Pelodiscus sinensis: one gene and its partners. The protein of the gene in region 3 purifies or fractionates together with the protein of the main gene of each other region. This does not show direct contact. Links are inferred from orthologs where the notes say so. Each region holds a gene or a part of one and is shown on either strand. Other genes may lie near its edges. The genes, in order: RHOC, EZR and ARHGDIA.

Region 1 (3,745 bases), on a different chromosome or scaffold from region 3:
ACTGGTCAAATGGGAAATTTAACTGGTTAACCAAATAAACGGGGCTGGCAGGCCTCCTACCTCATGCACAGGGCTGGAGCAGCCCCCACTGGTTAACTGTAAGCGCATGGGCAAGATTTACTGATTAACCAGCTAGCTGCTCACATCCCTACTAGGATCTGAAGACGGCTTTCTTTCTTCCATTTTTTCTGACTCCATCTGGAGTCAGCATGACTTGTGTCCCCTGGTCCAAGACTTGCCCTCATGTCTTTTCCCCAAAGGCAACACCCACTGTGCATTTCACCTGTTGTATGGACGTGCTTATGAAGCAGCTTGCCAATTAGAAGGCTCTTCATTAAACAAATGGCAGAGCAAGAGCTCCTTGTAAAATAAATTAATTCTCAGCAGCATCCAGGAATCAGGTGCCTGCTGAGCAGGATCTCATGTGATGCAGGAACCCTGAAAGACCAGATTTTGGCTTTCTATGCAGTACCACCTTTCCTGCTCTGTGCATCCCCATGCGTGACACAGCAGTGCGTTGGATTCCTGCTGGCTCACCTGGCTGCCATTTTACACTTGGCACGCACACAACGGTTTGTTTATAACATTGTGTTGGGAGGGATGCTGGGCAGGACGCGAGGATTATTCCCTGCTCTGAGAAGTGCTGCAAGATCGTAACTTCCGTGGCTGTAAGTCACGTCTGAGTTCAGCTGACGGCAGCTGTACTTGTGGAAGTTTATGTTCCACGGCATTGCTTTTCAAGTGAGGCAAACAACTGCTCAACATCCAGAGCCAGCTGATGTCACTGCAGTGCATCTCAGTCTTCCAGGAGAGGAGTCTTACAGGAAACCTTCTTACAACCCACCACGCTTTAGAGTCTACAGACACCTTAACCAGTGATCCTTGTAAGCAGTGTGCTTGTGCGGTCACCCAGGAGGGATTCAAATGCCCCCCACTCATAAGCGGAGCACCCACAGCCAGGTCTCTGATTCTACTGGTGGTGCACATACACACATGCCCCAGTGCACATAGAAAAAGTTATTTCGCATATGGATGGAAAAAATCTGCACGTGGATGGGAAAAAATTAGGGGGAGGGGGGAGAACAACACAGACCTTAACTCCCCCTCCACATTAAGGTTTCTAAGGCAGCATAGGTTTCTTATTCTTCAATAAGAATGTGTAGTACGTGATATATCAAATCCCAATAATACATCACAGCCTCAGGAACAGTTTCTACCTGTTTAGTTTTGTACTGCTATCGCGTTGGGCCAATCAATATTTGTCTAATACATTCCTTACATTTCATGGCATTCCATGCCAAACAGAAGATTACAATGTGGTTTTGTTTACACAAACTTCTGATAACCTCTTGGAAGTGGGTCACATAACTCTGTGCTTTTTCCATTTTGATAGAACCTCTGCAAGCAAATAACTTCTACTAGATCTAGGACTCCACTTTAAAACCCCTAGCTCTCACATGTAGCTATAAGGAAAATTATGGGAGGCCAGCAGACACTTGGCACAGAGACAATAAAGCGTGACTGAAAGTGGAATATAAGTGGGAACACATAACTGAAGCCCTTAAATAGTTTATTGCCTGTAACACAATTTAAACCTTTTCACAATTTGCATAAAAGGTGACATTTTCTTTATCTGTGACCCAGTTTAGTTTCCATCAGCTTGAGGTCTCAGCACACAACATGTTTCCCAGTCAGACTGCACACTCTAAACTGATTCACAACTTCTTACTGTTTTACGCTCCCGTTGTCAGGAGGCCAAGGCTGGATTCAAGGGGCTTGGCTGCCAGACGGTTAGGGCTGGAGAAAGCAGCGCAGTCATGGTTTTGGAATGCTTCTGTACTCCAAAGCCATTACAAAGCTCCTAACACACATGTTTAAAGGCTACCTACAGGAAGCAAGGAGCACAGGCTTCGAGGAGATGGACATGCTGTTTGTTAGCACTAGGAAACAGCACCTAGGACATGAAAATGCACCCCAGGAGCGTGCTCCCACACAGAAAAGCCAAGTGTGTGTGTGGGGGGGGGGGAGGAGATGGGGAAGACCACCACCATTTCAGCCTGCTTAGTTCAAGCAAACTTCTGTCGCTTGGGGGCATGCCACAGTTGAGCGCGACCAGGGAGCCCAAGCAGTGGGCACTGGCTGATTAACAAGTGGATTGTACCCACCACAGCAAACGCCCGTTAGTCTCTAAGGTGCCGCAGGACTGTTGGTTGTGCTGGACCTACAGACAGACAGGGACGCGGAGATTCCTGCTCTGCACCCCGGCAGCTCCCCAGGCAGGGGAAGTAGCTGTGCTGAACAAGAGCTGGCCAGGGAAAGGCTCCCTGGGATGTTTGCTCAGCTCAGCTGCCTGGTCTCCCTCCCCACCCCACCAGCTGAGCACACACTCCAGGGGAGGACGGGCACACCTAGCACAGCCTCTCCTGCCCACCTGCCCCGCATCAGTGGCTGTGCTGAGACAGAGCTGGGCCCCCCTGCAGCACGGGGGGGGGGGCGGCTCCCGGCCCGGGAGAAGGGGGGTAAGAGCCCCTCCCCCAATAAGAGTAGGAGACAGAAGGGCTGCCCCCCCCCCCGCTTGTACAACCTGTGACCCCCAGAACAGCCCTGCCACCCCCACACCCCGAACTCCCAGAGCCCAGCCCGGCTCCCCCCCGCAACCCCTCCGGCCCCAGCGCCCCCCTCACCCCACAGCCCCCTCAGGCACCGGGTACCCGCACACAGAGCCCCCCCCGCTCCCCACAGCCCCGCCCCGCGGTACCTGGGGCGCTGGCTCCGGCTGCTCGGGCTCCGCGGCGAGCGGCACTTAGCCGGGCAGGGCGGGGCCGGCCGGGACCGCCCCCCCGCCGGGTACTGCGGGGCGGGGCCGCCCGGGGATACGGGCAGCGGGCGTCACAGAGGGGGGAGGGGCCCGCAGGGTGCTGGCGGGGGCAGAGGGGGGGCACAGGGTGGGGGTGACAGAGGAGGGGGGGCTCGCAGGGTGCTGGCGGGGGCACAGGGTGGGGTACAGGGTGGGGGTGACAGAGAAGGGGGGCTTGCAGGGTGCTGGCCGGGTACGGGGGGCACAGGGTGGGGTACAGGGTGGGGGTGACAGAGGAGGAGGAGCTCGCAGGGTGCTGGCGGGGGCACAGGGGGGGCACAGGGTGGGGGTGACAGAGGAGGGGGGCTCACAGGGTGCTGGCGGGGGCAGAGGGTGGGGTATGGGGTGGGGGTGACAGAGGAGGGGGGCTCGCAGGGTGCTGGCGGGGGCAGAGGGTGGGGTACGGGGTGGGGGTGACAGAGGAGGGGGGGCTCGCAGGGTGCTGGCGGAGGCACAGGGTGGGGTACAGGGTGGGAGTGACAGAGGAGGGGGGCTCACAGGGTGCTGGCGGGGGCACAGGGTGGGGTACGGGGTGGGGGTGACAGAGGAGGAGGAGCTCACAGGGTGCTGGCGGGGGGAGCTGGGAGACTGGGCACAAGCCGGGGAGGGGGAGGGGAAGGGGGAGGAAAGAGCAGTGGCTGCAGGAAGAACTCCCCAAGACACTCACACCCCGGGGCCCACTCTGGCCGCCTCCCCTGCATTTAGCTGGGAGGCTGGAGAAGAGCTACCTGTGGCTCAAAGCTCCACTCTCACCAACAGAAGTGGTCCAGTAAAACATATCACACCCATCTTGCCCATCTAATATTTTATCATTTATATCGCAGTGCACCCAGACACATCTGCCTTGTGCTAAAGCCCTAGTCAATGACAATGCTTGTCCTAAATGCC
Region 2 (3,745 bases), on a different chromosome or scaffold from region 3:
GGGGACAGGGCTGTGCTGGCCAGCAGCACCCAAGCAGCTCCTCAGGGGGAGGAGAGCAGGACTGAGCAGACTGACTAGCCCCCCTGCCAGCTCATCTTGGGGGGGAAGCGAGGCTGGGCTGCCCAGTGCCCCCACAGTGGCTCCTTGCAGGAGGGGAATGGGATTGGAACTGGGTTGCCTGTTGGCTCCTTGTAGGGGTGGGGCTGGACTGCCCAGCTCCCCTCAGTGGCTTCTCATAGGGGTTGGAGCCAGGCCTACTGGCTGGTGGGATTTCTGAGCCCCTCCCCCCCCATCCGGTGTTATAGCAGAGAGCTGGGCGGGGGGGGGGGCACTTATCTGGGTCAGTGGCTGGCCACTCTCTTCCTGGTGCAGCAATCTCCCTGTGGTCACTCTGCAATATAACTGTCCCCTGTGCTCCCTGCGGTCATGGTGGAGCATAACTGTCCCTCCTCTCAGACCCCTCCCTTTCCATGTTACAGAAAACAATCGAATTCCAAGCACATCCCCATTGTCCTGGCAAAACCAAGCCTTGACTTGCTTTAAGTTAGGATACCAAATTTGGTGGTCCTGACTCTAATCATTTTGGAGGAGTCCTCTCAGATAGATGCACAAAATCTCTAAAATATATAAACAGAGACACTAGTGTGTGAAGTCTCATAACGGATGGTTCGCAGACTTTCCATTAGATAAAGTTTATTGGTAAAAATTAGTGACAGAATAATTAATCACCAATATCACTTCCGCAGAGTTCCATGCATTCTCAAATTTAGCACTACATCCCTGACTATATCAGTGACATTACACATACAAATGAGCTAGCCAAAGCAAGTGTCAGAAAGTTTTCTTAAAGTGTGAAAAAATCTGGCTGCACAGTAATCAAACCACTTCCATCCATGAAAATGTGAAGACTTTCAAAAAGACAACCAAATTCCCCCCTTTTATAGTAAGCATGACACTTTTCAGCCCCAAAGGATAAAGGAGGGTAAAAAACGGAGACAAATATAAGCGCACCTCCAGAAGTGCTTGCAATGCAACTGCTTCCTCCCATTACCTGAAGGGAGAGGAGCACAGCACACGGAGGAAAAGGGCTGGTGGGAAGGAGAATTTTTGTCCAAATCCCAGTAGCCCTAAAACCAAACAAAGCCAAGTCTGGGTAAGTTCCCCAGGCACGTGTGTTGCTTGTCACTGGAGGCTCGTTCCTTTGCTTTGCTTCTTTCCCTTACGCTGGCGCAAAGAACGCGCGTCCCTGGCTGCTCCCTGGCATGCCCCGCGGTGTTTGCCCAGGCTCTCCAGGGGGAAGATGGGCGCCAGGCTGACAAGGCGCCGGGAGGGCGCTCTGCATTCGCGTGTGGACGCGGGGAGCCGGGCTCGGGGCTGTCTACACAGGGGAAGGCGCGGCTCGGGGGAGGCGGGGCCCGCTCGGCCATATTGCAGCAGTGGGAGCGGCGGGGCGGGGTCAGAGGCGCGCACAGGGAGCCCAACCCACCCTCCGGCCGCTGCCAGTCCAGTCCGGTCCCGGGTGTTGCCCAGTCGCCGCAGGGAGACAGCCGGGTAAGGGGTCTCCCAGCCGGAGCCGGGGGAGCACGGGGTGGCGCAGGCAACAGGTGTTGCGGGGCTTAGCGCGCGTCTCCTGCCGCCGCTCGGTCTCCCCGCCTGCCTGGGGCTCCCGGGGCCAGGTGCTGCCTGCAGAGCGGGAGCAGGCGAGCGAGCCCTGCCGGGTCGTGGTGTCTGCGGACCGTAGGCTAGAGCCCGCCTGAGGCTTGGCCGGGCTCCCTCCCGGTCCTTGTTTTAACTTTCAGGGCAAAGGGAGGCAGCTGCTGGGCCCCTCGGGCGGGATTCTTCTGCCTGCCCTCCCCGGGAGTCGGGGCAAGCTGCTTTGTGAGGGAGGGTCTCGGTGCTTCTCTCCGACCTGCTGGCAGGCAGGCGTCGGGGGAGCGGTCCCTGTGTTGCAAACCAAGGGCTGACAATGGTTCCAGTTTCCGCCCCCTCCTCCTTTCCCAGGTTATTAATCTTATACCGCTTAGGAAAGGTGTTGAAATTGTACTTAGGCTTATGGGTGTGTCTGGCCCAATGACCTTCTCTGGTTGCAGATGGATTTTTTTTTCCCCCACTGGGCGAGGTCACTTATGTGGTTTTTTTTTTTAAATAAAATAAAACCAGTGGAGTTCCCTAGTAATTGTGGGTCACGTATGAATCATCTTTGCTGCTCTCCCTCGTTATTTAAGAAACCGAACTGAGATTTTAAGCTTCTTTTACTTTACCTCCTCCTCAGTAAAAGAGAACTTTTTCTACTCACCTGTTACCAGATTTACGAAAAAGAAAAAAGATCTTCAAGCCACTGCATGACCATTTGTTTTTGGAATAACAGAACCGCTTTAAGATCTGAAAATGCCCAAACCGGTGAGTGATACGTTTTATGTCTTGTATCTTGTGGTGTTTAGTATACATTTTTATGTTTTTATATTAGTAACTTACTTTTTTTAGGTGACTATTTCCTTCTAATAATTTTCACAAACCAATCACTCTATAGTATATCTGGTCTCAGTTCTCATCATCAAAGGAAATCTGAGCAGCCCCTTCAAAAGATGAGCCTCGGAGCTTAAATGTGTAACAGTTAGACACTAAAAAGAATGGATGGAATAATTGAGACACTGGTTTATAACCATCTATAGTGCCACTTTCCTCTCAGCTATCTCCCTCTGTCTATTTTTTCCCATGACTAGAGGGGTGCTAATGGTCTCTTTCATCTTGAATGGTCCTGTGAAATAGCTATTAATTATTTTTGCTAAACTGTCTGTTCCACCTTGTAATTAACTGCAACACCCTGAGTGTATTTCCTAGATCCAAAGAAGAGCTCTGTTTAAGCGGAGAAGCTTGAATATCTTACCAACAGAAGTTGATTCAAGAAAATATATTCAAGAAAATATATTACCTCACCTACCTTGTTTTTTTTCTTTCTATGTTTAGAAGGATTATATAAATTAATACATCGTAATTTGAGTCCTCCATGCCAGTTCCAAATTGTTAGAAGAGCAAAGCAGCATGATGAACCCATATATCCATCCAACTTAAAAATCAAATGTTGGGTGGGGGCAGGTGGAAGTGAGGATGTACTTAAATGACACACACACAATGTTATAATTCTAACAATCAGGAATAGAAGTTTGATCCTCCAATTAATTTAAATGTTAAATTATTTGTTTAAACATCTTTAATTTTAAATTTTTATACTAGTATTTATATACCTTAATTCAACTATGCAAAACTCTACTACCCATGAGTAAGTAACTGTTTTCAGTGGGCAAAAATATAATTAATTTTGTTTGTTTATGGTTAACATGGATGAGCAGAAGTTACACCTTAGCTGGTAAATTTTTTGTATTTTTTCAGCATTGCTTTAAAGCTGTGTATATACATGCATTCCTTCATAAAAGAGCTAATATATAGCCTGTGGATTGATAAGTTTCTGAGGCTATGTCTGTTTTTTAGTGACTTACATGTTTTGGCTTTTTTTTTTTTAAAAAAAAATTCATTTGCTATTGAAAATAATCATTCCAAAAGAGAAGAATTATACTTTGTAAAGCATAGAAATGATTCTTTCTAAATGCTGTCAGTATGAAGCCATCAGAACCAAAGAATTTTCTGGTTCCACCACAATTTATATCTGAAAATGGGTTTAGTAATGGACTTAGACTGGGGATGGGAGGCTTGATAAAAATGATACTGTGCTCTTTGGAATGATATT
Region 3 (3,745 bases):
GCTCTTTGGGGAGATGCACTGAAGGAAACCTCAGCTTGTATGTGTGTAAAAGCAAACCTGGCTGATTATGTAGGATACCTCTTCTACCTTCCCAGTAGTGCTCAAAATGGAAAGGAACTAACTGTAGAAATCAAGAGAAAGCAAATCCTACACATGGCCCTTGTGCCAATGCAACCAGGAGCATTTCATTTGCCTACAGGCCCAAAATATAATTGACAAACTATGAGAACTTTTCAAGACTTGCAAGGCTAGAGAGGAGAATTTCTACATCAGTGGGAGGTAGGATCACTGTTCATTATTCCAGAGCAAAAACAAGCAATGAGTTAAGTAGACTTTTCAGTGTGGAAAAGTTGATTGGGATCTGCTGATGGATCTTGGAGCCTCTGACAGGTGATCCTGACTGGTTTGGCCAAGAGGCTATCAAGTGCCAGCACTTCAGTTGCCCCTCTCCCCCCCACTGCTGTGCACCTTCTGCCCTTTGCCTTGGAGCTGTCCCCTCAGGAGCCTCCTGCTTTCTGGGTGCTGATGCCCCACAGAGCAGAGAGGGGGCACAACAGGACTTGGGATGGAGTTTGCTGGCTGTGGGACAATGGAGGGTATTGGGGGGGTTGCAGACCTACGGACAGTAGTGACGGGTCTCGAAGAGGACACGCGCACAGCGGGGGCGCGGCAAGCGGGATCCCAGCCCCATTCAAACACGGCGAGGAGCAGCCCCGGGTCTGCGGGGCAAACGGGACCGCGCAGGACTCGCCGCCCGGGCGGACGCTCCCTCGAGCGGGGGGGGGGGCCGGGCGGGGGCCTGGCTCGGTCCCGTGACAGGCGGCAGCGCAGAGACGGGGGGAGCGATCCCCGCCGCCGCCCAGGGGTCTGTCGGGGCAGGTTCGCTTCCGCTCGCCCTGCAGAGACCGGAAGTCCCCCGCCCCCCGCAGCGGGGACGCTCTAGCTAGGCCTCAATCTCGCTCATCTTCGCCGTCGGTCGCGCGCCCCCTCCGCCCTCTGCCGGCCAATCAGCGTCGCGAGGCCGGCTCGGGAAGTGAGGCATTGGGCGCTGCCCCCTTATAACAGGAAGTGACGCCAGTGCCCCGGAAGTGCGGGAGCGCGCGCGGAGGCGGCTGGGCGGATCCGGGCGGCGTTGTCACAGCGGCGCGAGGAGGCGACCGGGCCGGGTAGGGAGGGGCCGCGGCGCGGGCGGGGGCGGGGCCTGCGGCTCGCGCCCAGCGCCCTTGTCCCGGGCTGCAGGGCCCGGGGGGCAGGGCTGAGCCGGATCTCCCGGGTGCGGCCTGAGGGGGGCCCGTGCAGCCCCTCCCCCCCCCGGGGCCCTGGTAACTGCCCGGCGCTTTCGCGAAGGGCCCCGCCGCGCGGGCCGAGGCTGGTGCAGCGGGGGGGGAGGGGCCCGCTCGGGGCGGCGCTGCCTGTTCTGCGAGGGCCACTTAATAAAGGCGCCGAATGTTCATTTATTTCGCAGGTGACGCCAAGCTGGGGGAGGTGGCGCCCTGGGGGCTGCAGTGCTGGGCCGAGTCCTGCTTGTGCCCCGGGCAGTGGGCGCGAGGCGCCTGATTGACGTGGTCTGGGACTCTGCCCCCCCCCCCCCCCCCGGCGAGCGGCACATGCGTGGCTGCGCCTCCGGGCGAGCACAGTGCCCCTTACCACTAGCTGCCTGGCTAGTGCCCCTCCCTTAACCCAGACCTGCAGGGCAGGGAGAGAGTCCAGAGTGACCTGGACAGAGTAGAGGATTGGGCCAAAAGAAACCCGATGAAGTTCCACAAGGACAAGTGTAGAGTCCTGTGCTTGGGAAGGAAGAATCCCAGCATTGTTACAGGCTAAGCAGCAGGTCTGCAGAAAAGGACCTGGGGTTACAGTGGGTGAGAAGCTGGATAGGAGTCAACAGTGCGCCCTTGTAGCCAAGAAGGCGAATGGCATATTAGGATGCATTAGGAGGAGCATTGCCAGCAGATCTAAAGAAGTGAGTATTCCCCTTTATTCGGCTCTGCTGAGGCCACATCTGGAGTATTGTGTCCAGTTCTGGGCCCCCAAAACTATAGAAAGGATGTGGACGCATTGGAGAGGGTCCAGCGGAGGGCGACCAAAATGATGAGGGGGCTGAAGCACATGACCTACTAGGAGAGACTGAGGGATTTGGGTCTGTTTAGTCTTCAAAAGAGAAGAGTGAGGGGGGATTTGACAGCAGCCTTCAACTTCATGACGGGAGGTTCCAAAGATGCTGGAGAGAGGCTGTTCGCAGTAGTGATGGATGGCAGAAGAAGGAGCAATGGTCTCAAGTTACAGTGGGGGTGGTCTAGGTTGGATATTAGGAAAAACTATTTCACTAGGCGGGTGGTGAAGCACTGGAATGGGTTCCCGAGGGAGGGGGTGGAATCTCCATCCATACAGGTTTTTAAGTCTCAGGTTGACAAGAGCCCTGGCCGGGTTGATTTAGTTGGGATTGGTCCTGCCTTGGGCAGGGGGCTGGACTTGACCTCCTGAGGTCTCTTCCAGCTCAATGATTCATATCTTTGTACTTCCCAACCAGCTAATATAAGGAATGCTTATTCAGCACTTCCTATACTATGCAAAGCTGCAGCAAGAGCTTCCTCAATTTTGTATAGTTAGTTTTTAACAAAGGAAGCTGCCATTTTCAGAGCTGTTAGGAAAGAAGCTGGAAAAACCATGGAAGAGATCGTCAATCATCTCTCTTCCTGCACCTTCAGATGGGGCTTTCACACTCTGTAAGCAGGTACATTAGTTTCCTCAACAACCAGGGGCACGCATTTCAGGCCCTCAGCTTTGAAATGTACTCTCTCTGACATTACAGAAGAAACAGTGGGGCTTAATTTAACTAGCCTAATAAGACAGGAAGGCAGAGCAGGGAAACCTCTTCCAGGTTCCTCATCACCTGAGCAATCCAAAATGAGTGAAAATACACCATTTGAGAGAGAGCACTTAACTCAGGGGTGGGCGAGCTTTTTTGTGTTGGGAATCACTAACCCACAGAAAAATCAGTCTGAGTCCACACACAAATAGGAAGCAGAGGGGAGGAAAAAACTAAATTGTCTCCCTGGGGGGGGGAACCCCACATCTCTCACCTGGCCTCCAAGTGAGGAGGAGGAAAAAAGACCCTCACCTCCAGCCCCATGGAGGGGTGCAGGTGCAGGGGCTCAGTGTTCACCCCAGGCCAGATTAACTCTTCTGGGGACCTGGGGCTGGTTGATTTTGTGGGGTCCCCTTAGGCTCTGGGGTGAGGGCCAAAAATGTGGGGTTCAGGTGTGCAAGAGGGACTGCTGGGGAGTGGCTCAGTCTTTAGAAGAAGGAATTGAGATGATGGGGAGCCACTCCCCCTTCTGGAGGAGGGTCTATTCCTGCCAGAGACAGAAGGCCTGTGCTCCTGGCAGAGATGGAAAGGGTCAACCAGTTAACTGGCATAGGGATGTTACATTTAATCCACTAATTGTCTAGTCAATGGCATTTTCATTGACCAGTCTATTAGTGGGGGAGCTGCGGTGGGGTTAGTTCCTGGGAGCTAACCCTGCTGCAGCTCTGCCTTTTAAATGTATGAAGAGCTGGAAGGCCCTCAACATATTTAAAAGGCCAGTGTACAGTGTGGGGGACCTCACGCGATCCGGGACAGCTGATTCCCAGCTTGTGCCAGGTCCCCCCACTGTGCACCAGCCTTTTAAATGTGTTCAGGGCTTGCTGGGTCTTAATTCATTTAAAAAGCAGAGGTGCAATGTCTGAGACTGGTTGTGAG

The links.
Region 1: the proteins of ARHGDIA (region 3) and RHOC purify together in Homo sapiens (affinity purification with mass spectrometry; 4 studies listed by BioGRID and IntAct, with this or other methods). This does not show direct contact. The link is inferred for Pelodiscus sinensis from reciprocal best matches to the Homo sapiens genes ARHGDIA and RHOC.
Region 2: the proteins of ARHGDIA (region 3) and EZR purify together in Homo sapiens (co-purification; 3 studies listed by BioGRID and IntAct, with this or other methods). This does not show direct contact. The link is inferred for Pelodiscus sinensis from reciprocal best matches to the Homo sapiens genes ARHGDIA and EZR.

The regions. Positions count from the first base shown.
Region 1 is NC_134737.1:2,011,206-2,014,950, reverse strand, and holds the start of RHOC (rho-related GTP-binding protein RhoC), read right to left. Parts: upstream 2,835-3,745; 5' UTR 2,759-2,834; intron 1-2,758. UniProt on the Homo sapiens protein: Regulates a signal transduction pathway linking plasma membrane receptors to the assembly of focal adhesions and actin stress fibers.
Region 2 is NC_134713.1:112,895,077-112,898,821, reverse strand, and holds the start of EZR (ezrin), read left to right. Parts: upstream 1-1,394; 5' UTR 1,395-1,551; intron 1,552-2,272; exon of another isoform or gene 2,273-2,306; 5' UTR 2,307-2,388; coding exon 2,389-2,400; intron 2,401-3,745. UniProt on the Homo sapiens protein: Probably involved in connections of major cytoskeletal structures to the plasma membrane. In epithelial cells, required for the formation of microvilli and membrane ruffles on the apical pole. Along with PLEKHG6, required for normal macropinocytosis.
Region 3 is NC_134730.1:29,724,246-29,727,990, reverse strand, and holds the start of ARHGDIA (rho GDP-dissociation inhibitor 1), read left to right. Parts: upstream 1-1,009; 5' UTR 1,010-1,166; intron 1,167-3,745. UniProt on the Homo sapiens protein: Controls Rho proteins homeostasis. Regulates the GDP/GTP exchange reaction of the Rho proteins by inhibiting the dissociation of GDP from them, and the subsequent binding of GTP to them.